Linked DNA regions of Rattus norvegicus. The main gene of each other region encodes a partner of the protein of the gene in region 2 in a complex. Links are inferred from orthologs where the notes say so. Each region holds a gene or a part of one and is shown on either strand. Other genes may lie near its edges. The genes, in order: Fbxl13, Tcte1 and Drc12.

The links.
Region 1: Tcte1 (region 2) and Fbxl13 share a complex: the UniProt entries of both Homo sapiens proteins name them as parts of the nexin-dynein regulatory complex. The link is inferred for Rattus norvegicus from reciprocal best matches to the Homo sapiens genes DRC5 and FBXL13.
Region 3: Tcte1 (region 2) and Drc12 share a complex: the UniProt entries of both Homo sapiens proteins name them as parts of the nexin-dynein regulatory complex. The link is inferred for Rattus norvegicus from reciprocal best matches to the Homo sapiens genes DRC5 and DRC12.

Annotation. Positions count from the first base shown.
Region 1 is NC_086022.1:14,305,814-14,309,563, forward strand, and holds the start of Fbxl13 (dynein regulatory complex subunit 6), read left to right. Parts: upstream 1-1,317; 5' UTR 1,318-1,353; coding exon 1,354-1,428; intron 1,429-3,750. Other genes in the region: Armc10 (armadillo repeat-containing protein 10), read right to left, coding at 711-843. UniProt on the Homo sapiens protein: Substrate-recognition component of the SCF (SKP1-CUL1-F-box protein)-type E3 ubiquitin ligase complex.
Region 2 is NC_086027.1:22,967,601-22,971,350, forward strand, and holds the start of Tcte1 (dynein regulatory complex subunit 5), read right to left. Parts: upstream 2,792-3,750; 5' UTR 2,723-2,791; coding exon 2,452-2,722; intron 1,329-2,451; coding exon 760-1,328; intron 1-759. UniProt on the Homo sapiens protein: Component of the nexin-dynein regulatory complex (N-DRC) a key regulator of ciliary/flagellar motility which maintains the alignment and integrity of the distal axoneme and regulates microtubule sliding in motile axonemes.
Region 3 is NC_086026.1:53,477,551-53,481,300, reverse strand, and holds the end of Drc12 (coiled-coil domain-containing protein 153), read right to left. Parts: intron 1,739-3,750; coding exon 1,608-1,738; intron 730-1,607; coding exon of another isoform or gene 724-729; exon of another isoform or gene 707-723; coding exon 578-706; 3' UTR 137-577; downstream 1-136. UniProt on the Homo sapiens protein: Component of the nexin-dynein regulatory complex (N-DRC), a key regulator of ciliary/flagellar motility which maintains the alignment and integrity of the distal axoneme and regulates microtubule sliding in motile axonemes.

The DNA.
Region 1 (3,750 bases), on a different chromosome or scaffold from region 2:
GATTTTGCTCAGTGGTCGAACGCTTGCTAGGCAAGGCCCTGGGTTCGGACTCCAGCTCCGGGGGAAAAAAAAAAAAGACAAAAGAAACAAATACATTTCTCTGCCTTTGAGGAAAGCAGGTTTTGGTCGGCAGACCAAATAGTTTTCCCAACAGTTTTCACGACCTAAACGATCCTTTCAGAAGGTGTGTCTCCTGTAGGCTGAGGTTCTTTATTTCCAACACACACACCCATGTTGCAGGGATGCTACGGATGACTTAAAGGTACTAGCACCTAAGACAGGTGCTGGCAGAATTGCACCTCAGGGATCCTTTCTTCATAAAGCAGCGAGCAGAGTTTCAACCTGGACTTGAGGCCCCTAAGAACGTTCTCACACAGTAAGGGACACCTCTTTGGTAACAACACAAAGGCCCAAACTTTAAAATGAGAAGCAATCTATTTAGCTTGGAGAAACCTCAGCTCTCCGCTGTGAAGCCGGAGGGAAGTAATAGGGCACTTCGGGCGATGTTTTCAGTCCTTATTTTAAACAAAGAAGTGGGAGCAGGGAAGCGGCTCAGGACCCACCCAAGGCAACTTGGGCTTCCAGACTGTCTACCTCTAGCCTTCCTCCCCATGCAGTCGCGAGTGTCTAAGGCACCTCTGATCTAGCCTGTCCAGAGGTGGTTCCCGAACCTCGAACCAGTCCACATGCCGGGCAGCCCATCGCCTCACCTGCGGACCGCGAAGGGCGCAGTCGGCGCCCGCCTCGCCGCGGTCCCCGAGTCAGCCGGTAGATACAGTAGCAGGCGCCAGCGCCCAGGACTAGCCCGGCTGCCACCCAGCCCACGTCCCGCGCGCCGCCCATACTGCTGCCACCGAGCTGCAGGGAGCCGGGGTGCCAGGGCCACACGCAGGTGCAGCTGGGCCAGAACCAGCCCAGAGAAAGGAAATGGGGTTGGAGCTCCGCCTTCCGGAAGCCGCCCTGCTGAGGTCGGAAGCCCTCCCACTCTGCTCGTTGCCCTCCCTAGTGCTTGCATCTTTTTCCTGGATCAAGTGGGGGACCGCCCTGCTTGAGTCCCGCCCCCTAGCTCCGCCCCAATACTTTCCAGTCCAGCTATGCCCCGCCTCCCACTTTACTTCGCCCCGCGGGTCCTGTCCTGCCCCTGCCCCTCCCAGCGCTGCCCGCTCCTCCCCGTTCTGTCCGCCCCTCCCCATTCCCCCTGCCCTTCCCCCCCAGGTTCTTTCTTCATCTCCGGATTGGCTGAGACTGTTTGGCTCCTCCTTGGTTGCCAGGCAACGCACCGACGCGTCCCTCCGCTGCAGCGTGGAGCAGTAACCAACAAAACGCAGTAGTTTCTCAGTCCTGCTTCTGACTATGGCTTCACTACGCAACGCCCCCCCCAGGCTAAGGAACTACTTCAAGGACAACTACATTCCTCAAATCTGTGAGGTATTGGAGCTACATAGCCTCTCACACAGAGGGCAAGGGAAGAGACCGGGAGAGGCAAGGAGATTCCCAGAGCTGGAGATAGGAAATAGAGGATGGGGGAGTTGAAGTCTATTTGGGGTAGGTTAGAGAACACCGAAGGGTGACAGTGGCTAAAGCAGGGGCGGAGATGACAAAGGAAGGGGAGGGGGAGGGGGAAAGTGACAATCTCCAGGGGGAAAGAGCACAAGGCCTGGGTTGGAGACCTCAAGTGTCAAGTACTAAGTGCTATTAGGAAGAGAGACGAACAAGAAGTGAGTGGTGAGCCACTTGAAGACAAAAGACTGCAGGGGTTCTGGGTATAAGCATTTCCTCGCTCGTTGTTAGCAGGAGACACAACCTCACAATATACCTTTTTAGAGATCGCCACGCAGGCAACACCCGAGGTGTTGGTTTTAACAAAGACATGAGTTTCGGTGCCAACCTATATAAAGATAAGTTGGTTTCATTAAACTCAGAAACATGTGCTCCAGTAGATAGAGTAGAACACACCTGATCAAGACAATTGTGGACTTCTGAAGGGAGAGTCCAGCTTATGTCTTCACAATGCAGATATAGGTTTCTTTTTTCTTTTTCTTGTGGCTTTCAAGGTTACCTTTCTAAATGTTGCCAAGAAGCCACTACCTCTTTTCTTCTTCTTTTTCTTTTTCTTAAGTAATTCATTCACTTTACATCCCGAACAAAGCCCACCCCCCCTACTTTTCTCTCAGTCTTGTCCTTACAAATCCCTCCCCCAACACTCCCTCCCCTTATCAGAGGAGAACGGGAAGACTTCTCCTCTGATAACTTGGGACATCTAGTCCCAATAGGATTAATACTCCTTTTTTTAAAAAAAAAAAACTGATATCACCCAAGAGTATAGTTTGTAACAAGGTTAGATTAAAAATTGAAGTTTCTTTTTCATTCAGTAACTAAAGTTGTATAGTGGATTTATGAGCAACTTCATTTAGTCCTGAGAGTGGGTAGGCCAGGAATTCAAGGTTATGTGTTGTTTTGACTTATGTCAGCACACCCTAATTACTGGTCTTGTCATCCTTGATTGATTGAGGTGTCTGGGGATACAGCAACTAGCCCCAAGTGAGAGCAGTTTAGTTACTGTCCATTAGGTCCTTATTTAGCAGACTTAAGTCCTTTTTGGTCAGTGAAAGGCTTCCTCTCTACCCTGTGCTTCCAGTCACTATAATCCCCTTTCTGCCCTGCCTCAGGAGGACAGTATGGTATTGAAAACCAGGTTTTATACTCCCAGGAGCTGAGCAATCGCTGGTGACTCCCATTCGCCTGCACATTGGTGTATGTTGTGTGGTGATGCTGTCAGAGTTCTGAGCACATCGCTTCTCGGCCTTTTGGCTAAGATCAAGTGCAGAGTTCTGAGCACGTGCTGTGATGGGGAGAATGAAGGAGTTCTAGGGGAGGAGAGAAGTGTGCAATTCAATTTTCAGGGAAAGTGGGTACAGCTCTTAGTTTTAGGATGGTTTTGCGCCGTGATTTTTATCCAGAGGATTTTATCCAATCACCTCTGCTCACACATTAACAGCAGGTGCAAGACAGGCCTTGAGCGCACTCTCACTTTCCCTCAGAGCCCAGTAAGGTGGCTTCTGTTCTGCCAGGTCTCTCTGCATGTACATGTCTGATTCAAATCCCTGAGACCTTTGCTCTTGTAAAAGCCACCTGCAAACACGTGAAGCACATATTTTATCAAAGACAGCTATGCGTGTTTGACCTCTTCTGAACATAACCCGTGTGCTCTGAGTAAACCTAGTTGTTCCTCCACAACGCCGTTTCCCTACAGACTTGTGTACACTCTGATTAAGGAACACCCAAACCAAAGCCTGCATGCCAGTGGTAGGTGTAGTTTTCCTTGCCAGGGAGACTGAAGCTGAGACTTGCTTGAGCCCAGGCATAGGAATGGTAACACCCAAAAATAAAAATAAAAAAAAAAAAACAGAACCAAAAAACAAACAAAACAAAACCCCAGCACCAAACTAAAACAACAAACACTTGCCTGAATTACTAAGCTTATTGAATCTGCTGATTGATATTTAATTTTCATTAGTTTTGGAATTGCTTAAATCTATTATTTTTACCCAATTTTTTCTCCTGTAGAAGCCCAAGCATGACTATAATAAGATTTTACCTTGACCTCTGTTTTAGCTTTGTCCTGTTAATTCGCTTTTGTGTTCTGGGTGCTATTTTGGATATTTTCCATTGACTGATAATTTTCATAGATTGCTAAATTTGCTAATTTTGCTTTATGTTGCATCTCATCACATCCGTTGGATGCATTAA
Region 2 (3,750 bases):
TCTAGTTAAACTTTAATTGTGTGTGTGTGTGTGTGTGTGTGTGTGTGTGTGTGCACGCGCGCGCACGGGCGCGCATGTCCTGGGCTGGATAAAAAGGAGAAAGCTGAGAATCCCCATTCCATGCTCTCTGCTTGGCCAACGCCTCAAGCTCCTGCCGCCATGGCTCCCCCTCTGTGGTGAACCATGCCTTGAAAACTGTAACCAAATGACTGTCAGCTCCCTTCAGTTGGTTCTGCCAGGGATTTTAATCACAGCCAGGAGACAAGTTAAGCAGTACAGTAGACCTGCTGTGGAGTGCGTTTTAGCTTTTCCCAGTGGCAGGGGCCAGACCCATGGCTTTGCACATGCTACAGACACTCTTTGCCTCTGAACTGCACCCCAAGCCTGGGCGTTTTTCATTTGGATCCATCCTCAGTATCACTTAGACTGGGCGTAGTGGCGTCATCTGTGATGACAGCACTTGGTCGTGTTTGTGTATGTAAGGCAGAGGCAGGAGGTCAGAAATTCAAGGTCATTTTTAGCTGCAATCAAGTTCTGGGCCTGCCTAAGACATGTGAGACCCTTTCTCAACAGAGTTTCAAAAGAAAAAAAAAACGAACCCAAATATCTAAACAATTCCCTTCTCTACTGAATGAATGCAAGGAGATGGGAGAAGATGGTGGGAGGAGAGGAACAGGCAGGGAGAAGCAACCCCTGAGGCAATGAGAAAGGAGGAGGCAGGCGATTTGGGGGCGGGGGGGGGGGAGCGGGCTGCGGTACCTTGAGAGTGTGACAAGCTTTGATGGTGGCTGCTAGAGAGTGGCAGTCTCGGTAGGTGAAGAGAAAGAGGTTCCACTCAAAATTCATGCCGCAGTCTTTGACGCCATACACCAGGTCCAGCTCCTCCAGGTACTTGAGGCCACCCACCAGAGCCTGCAGCTGGTAGTGGTTCTTCTCAGGCTCGTTCCCTTCGCCCTCACTGCCAGAGTCCGACTGTTCCTCTCCCTGAGGCGGGGTCGGCATCCGCACAGGTGGGAGGAACTGGTCCACGTGGATGCGGCGCACGTAGTTCCTGCAGAGGGGCACCAGGTCCAGAATCACGTTGGGGTCCGTGGTCCCTGGGATGAAGAGCTTCAGCAGGTTCTCCAGGTGTCTTTCAAAGAACATACGCTTCCAGCTGTCGCCGTGCTTGGACACGTGGCACACGGACCAGCGCTTGATGCAGCAGCGGTGCCAATAATTCTCATCCTCAATCAAGTTAGCCGTCACCGACAAAGGCAGCTCAGGGGGCAGGCTGCTCAAGACCTTCTTTTGGTGCTCTGGGAGCAGCTGCTTCAGGATGGGGTTGTCTTTGGGAAGGGAGGAAGGAAAACAGGGTCAGCCACCATGCTGGGAACGTCACAACACAGTGCCCCGGGGCTGTCTTGGAAGATCCTTTGTGATCTTGGGAACTTTGCTTTGAGAGGAGAAACGGTTTCATAAAGAGACACTCTTTGAGGCGCTCTTGCCTGCAACTAACTGGCAATTGCATTGGGCAGTATCTGGTCTCAAGCGGACCCACCCAGAGAAGAACAGATAGAATCTCAGGGCCAGTTCTTAACGTATCATCCAGTCTGACTTCTGAGACGCCCAGTCAGACTTTACTCATTCATTTCAGAATTACTGTATGTATTTTAACACCTACTATGTGCCAGATGCTGCTGGGGAGAAAAAAGGAAGAAAACATGGGGCCAAAAAAGATGGATCAGGGTGTAAAAAAAATGCATGCTGAGCAAAATTGAATCCCACCCCAGAACTCATGCAGAGGTGGGAGGAGGGAGAGCTGACGTCATGAGTCTCTGTATGTGCACTGCATTCCATGGTGAGAGCTCTCCCCACCCCCAATACATCCTTAAAAATGAAGAAGTCAGACATGGCCCTGGCCTCCTGGAGTTCATCTAAGCTTGCTGGGGCACACATCGACATGCTATGTTAGATAGATGGCCCATTTCTCGGGAAGCCCTTGTCCCACAGAGTAGGAGAGGCCAGCTAGTTCTCTTTGGAAGGAGCTGGAGTGGAGGAAACCAGGAAGCCATTTGCATCCCAGAGGACTCTATCAGATGTGTGCGCAGGCGTCTGTTTGTGTGGGTGTGCATGCACGTGTGCATGTGTGCTTGTGTGTGTGCACATGTGTGCACGCGTCTGTGTTCAGTTTGTGTGCATGTGCATGTACGTGGTGTGTGTGTGCGTGCACGCATGTGCCTATGTGTGGGTGTGCTCGTGCGCGTGCACGTGTCTGTGTTTGGTTTGAGTGCGTGTGTATGCACGTGTGCATGCGTGTTTGTGTGTGTGCGCGCGTGCACGTGCACATGCGTGTGCGTGCGTACACATGGCAGGAGACACCACTCAGTTGGGTGGGAGTAGATTTGAGAATGCTTCCAGGCTTGGGTGTGGTGGTCCCCACCTCCTCCGGCCCAGATCACGTGGACTCACTCTGGAAGTTCTTGACAATGTGTTGAATGCAGAGCTCTGTAAGGAGAGGTACAATGGCCAGCGACCACTCCGGGTCCTCGGAGATGATCCTGCGCATGCGACGGACATTTGTGGTCTTGGTCTTCAGCTGACTTGGGGCAGGGCTGGTGCTAGTCTTCAAGGACACGGGTCCTGGACTGGTACTACCCAAAGTAGAGACCTGGCGCTGGATGTTGAAAGCGGATTGGCTGCGAGACGAAGGGTCGGACGCTGTTGTTGAGGTTTCCTGCATGTTGACTGCTGGCAGTGAGGCAAGGGTAGGAACCTTGGCAACCTGGCAACAGGAAGCTTCTTACTGCAGGCAGGATACAGGATTGGGGGCGGGGTCCTAGCTGGAGCAAGAGGAAGGAGACAGTGTTACCTGGGGGGAATTAAGTGGCACAGAGCGGTGCTTGAGGATCAGTCTCTGGAGTGGAGTAGAACCAGATGAGGATCTCGGAGACTGGCTGTGTGGCTTTGGGCAAGCGAGCAAACATCTCTGAATCCCAGATGTTGCCTGTGAAATGAGGGCAGTAACTACCAACAGGATTATTAGAGGAGTTGATAAAATAATGTATTCTAAGGGCCACCGTGTGTACAGGAGCAGCCCCAAAGTTTAGACCATAGCTGTTCAATAATTATTATCATGGCTACGTACCAGGTACTCATGTTGGATATTAACTCATTTGTCATTAAGAAAAAAAAAACACGCTTTGGAGGTAAGAGCCCATTTTCATCTTCTTTTTTTTCCTTTGAAGGAAAATGAAACACAGAACGGTCCCTGACTTGCCTGATGTTGCACAGCTGATACTGAACGGGTAGTCTTTAAAGATTGTGTGTGTGTGTGTGTGTGTGTGTGTGTGTGTGTGTGTGTGCGCACACGTGCACACAGAGGCCCTGTGCTGAAGTTACGGGCAGTTGTGGGTAGCCTGACATGGGTGCTGGGAACTGAATTCAGTCCCTCGGTGAGAACAGAACACTGAGTGCACATGACCTCTGAGCCATCTCTCCAGCCATCCATAAAGTGTGCATCTAAACTCAGTTTCTCGGGGCTGGAGAGATGGCTCAGTGGTTAGAGCACTGACTGCTCTTCCAGAGGTCCTGAGTTCAATTTCCACCAACCACATGGGGGCTCACAACCATCTGTAATGGGATCCGATGCCCTCTTCTGGTGTGTCTGAGAGCTGTAGTGTACTCATATAAATAAAATAAATAAGTAAAAAAAAAAAAAACAAAGCAAAAAAGGGGAAAAACTCATTTTTTGTGTCGCCCTAGCTGTCC
Region 3 (3,750 bases), on a different chromosome or scaffold from region 2:
GACATCTATATGAGCACTTTAGTACAAGTATGCTACTGTTCAAATAAATAAATAAATAAATAAATAAATAAATAAATAAATAAATAAATAAATGTATACGCGCACGCACACACACACACACACACACACATCTGGATATCTGGATTTGTGTTTTATTGGTCAGGATAATCCAAAATAGTTTTGTTTTGTTTTGTTTCGGTTTTTCAAGACAGGGTTTCTCCGTATAGCCCTGGCTGTCCTGAAACTTGCTTTGTAGACCAGGCTGGCCTCAAACTCAGAGATCCCCCTGCCTCCCAAGTGTGGGGATTAAAGGCATGCACTACCGTGCCCACTTAAGCCAAGGCAGTTTGAAGGGACTGAAGGTACTCCAGGCTATAGGGAATGGGATCTAGTTTCTGTAGGAAAGGGTTTAGAACATTGTCTATTTCTTATCACTCAGGGGTTAGGACAATGGGACAATGGGTTAACCTAGAAAATAGATGTCCTCACTGCCAGAGGCCACAATCTACAGTTCTATTGACTTCTACATCAGGTTGCTTTATTGATATTGATATTTAGAGATTTGAGGCCAGTGGCCTCAAAGATCCAGGGGGTTGAGACCAAATCGCCGTAGCTGCTCCTTGTGTCTGGTGTGGAGCCTCAGCGTGGCTGCATCCCACTGAGGCTTGACAGCTCTCAGCTTGGCCAAGAGACAGTTCAGGTTGTCCTGTGAACAGCAAGCTTTCAGCTCTCAGGGAGGGAGGGAAGGAGTGCATCACCTCAGGTTGCCTGGCTTGATTAGTAAGAGTGCTTCACTTCCCTCCCTCCCTCCCTCCCTCCCTCCCTCCCTCCCTCCCTCCCTCCCTTCCTTCCTTTTTGTAAGATAACTTTGCTTTGTAGTCCAGGCTAGCTTCGAACTCAGAAACCTCCTGCCTCATCTTCCCAAGTATTAGATTTCAAACGTGAACCATCATGCCTGGCTGCTGCCTGCTGTCCCCAACTCCCCAACACTCAGGCCTCACACATGCTAGACAAGTATCCTGTCCCAGGGCTGTGTATCCAGAGCTCTTTTAATTTGTATTTTGAGATACAGTCTCTTACTACACTGCCTATGCTGGCCTTGAACTTTGTACCTTGCTTGGTTGGCCTTGAACCTATGACTTGTCTGCCTCATTCTCCTGAATAGCAGGATTACAAGACTGCGGCACTCCTTTTCTTCCCTGCTCCTTCTCCTCACTCCTCTTCCTATCCCTGGTCCTAGTTCTGTGCCTGGAATTGAACTCATGGCCTTGCATACTAGGCTAGATATCGACCTATATCTCTATTTTGGTGTATAGTCCTGACACCATATAACGACGTAATCCCCTGATTATTTTGAGTCTCGATCTCACAGTGTAGCAGGTGCATAGTACATTATAGTGCCTCTTGGCCTTTGTAGCTCAAAATCTCCCTGTGTTAGCTGCCCAGGTTCTGGGATTACAAGTCACTGCTCTGTCAACGGTTATGCCTTCTCTTTACACTTAGGACAGAGCACGGCCCCCTTAGGTCATGGGTTATCACATCAATTGGGGGCAAAGGGATGGAGGGTTATGAGAATTAGGAGACGGCTGACAGGTAGTGGTGCTTACATGCAAGATCTCCTCATATTTGGCCTCCATGTGTGCCACATGGGCGCGAAGCTCAGTCAGGGTTCCATCTTGCTCTCGGAGGGCTCGCTCAGCCTCTTCCCTTGCGGTCTTGGCCTCCCTTTGGCATGTTTCTAGGCAGCGGGCAGGGAGAAAGAGAAGACAGGACAGTGACACTGTAAACCAAGAACAGCAACTGAAGGCGCCTAAGAGGCAGCTTCACAGAGGCCACTAGAGACTTCCAGGGTCATTGCTTTCCTGAGGTCTCTATAGACTCCCTGAGGGGTGGCAGGGTACATGGAGGGCTTGAGACAGCAGATGGGCCAAAGTCTGCTGCTTTTTACTTAGTGTGGGACGAGGCTCTCTGAATCACCCTGTCTTAAATGTTTGACCCAGGCTGGCCTTAAAATCTCCATGTAGCCAAGGAAAACCTTGAGATCCATATTGTTTTGCTTCTCCCTCTCAGGGTTGGTGTCACAGACTTGTACCACCTAGCATGGTTCAGTGTTTAGTTTATCTTTATAGATGTATTTATTTTTAATTTTATATCTGTTTTTTTTTTAAATATAAGATTTATTCATTTATTATATATAAGTACACTGTAGCTGTCTTCAGATACACCAGAAGAGGGCATCAGATCTCTTTACAGATGGTTGTGAGCCACCATGTGGTTGCTGGGAATTGAACTCAGGACCTCTGGAAGAGCAGTCGGGTGCTCTTAACCGCTGAGCCATCTCTCCAGCCCCTTATATCTGTTTTTAAAACATCTTCCTCTCTGTCTGTCTCTGTCTCTGCCTCTCAGTCTCTGTGTGTGTGTGTGTGTGTGTGTGTGTGTGTGTGTGTGTGCGCGCGCGCGCATTTGCCTGTGCAGTCCAGACCAGAAGAGGGTATTAGACCAGATCCCCTGAAACTGGAATTATAATGTTTTCCAGTCACCATGTGGGTGCTGGGATCAAAGCTAGGCCCTTAGGAAGAGCAGCAACGTTCTTAACCATTGAACCCTTTCTCCAGCTCCTTTATCTTTAGAGGGAAAATAACATATGCTCCTTGTGTTTGCTGTGACCTTAAATGTGAAAATGGATGACAAAGCACTGTATACAAAAGGTGCTCAATAAATGTTGACTTAATTCAAAAGAGGGTCAAAGTTAGAGATGGTGTCCCTGGCCTTTATAAAGCAGCTCATGAATATTTATATCCAAACCAAAGATATTTTAGGATAAGAAAACTTTGAAATAGGAATCTGATGACTCATGCCTAAAACCTACAACTCAGAAGACTGAGGCTGGAGGATTACTGAGTTCAAGGCCACTTTGGGCTTTTGAGGAATAAGAGAAGACTCAGGAGGGGCCTGGAGCAATGGCTCAGCAGTTCAGAGCACTGGCGGCTGCTGCTCTTGCTGAGGACCTGGGTTTGGTTTACACCACCCACATGGTGGCTCAGAACCATTGGTAGCTCCATGGGATCTGATGCCATCTTCTGACCTCTGTTTTCTTCTCTGATTGATTTAATTTGTTGATTTAACAAGTAGACATTTAAGGCTTTCTACCAGGTGTTTGGCTTTGAGGATACTGAAGTAAATTAAGTCTAACATTTTCTGTAGTTTGGCTGTAAAAGTTGGCTAAACTAAAAAGGAATATATTTTGCTTAGGACAGACAAAGCAGTGAAGGGGTTAACTGCTGGAATTGGGGAGATTAAGCAAAGGGAGAAATGTGGTGACACTTACCTTCTCTTTACCTCTGTCTTAGAGGCTTTTATAAAACTTTCCTTTTCTTTAATAAATTTATTTATTTTGTTATTTTGTGTGTATGAGTGCTTCACTTGAGTGCATGTATGTGCATCATGTGGGTGTCTGTGGAGGTCAGAAGAGGACCTTAGATTCCCTCAGGCTACAGTTATGGGATGGTTGTGAACCACCAAGTGGGTGCTGGGAATTGGTTTCTGGTTCTTTTTAAGAACAAGTGCTGTTAACTGTTAACTGCTGAGCCAACTATCAGAGAGGCCAACTCCAGCCCTAACAGGGAGATTTGTGGCACTGAACTTTTTGTTCAGAGGAGAGTTAGGGCGACGGTGACTCGAGTTAAAATTCAGCCAACAGACTGTAGACGTCTAGAGGAGAGCCTTCGAGGTCCACTAGTCCATGCTGGG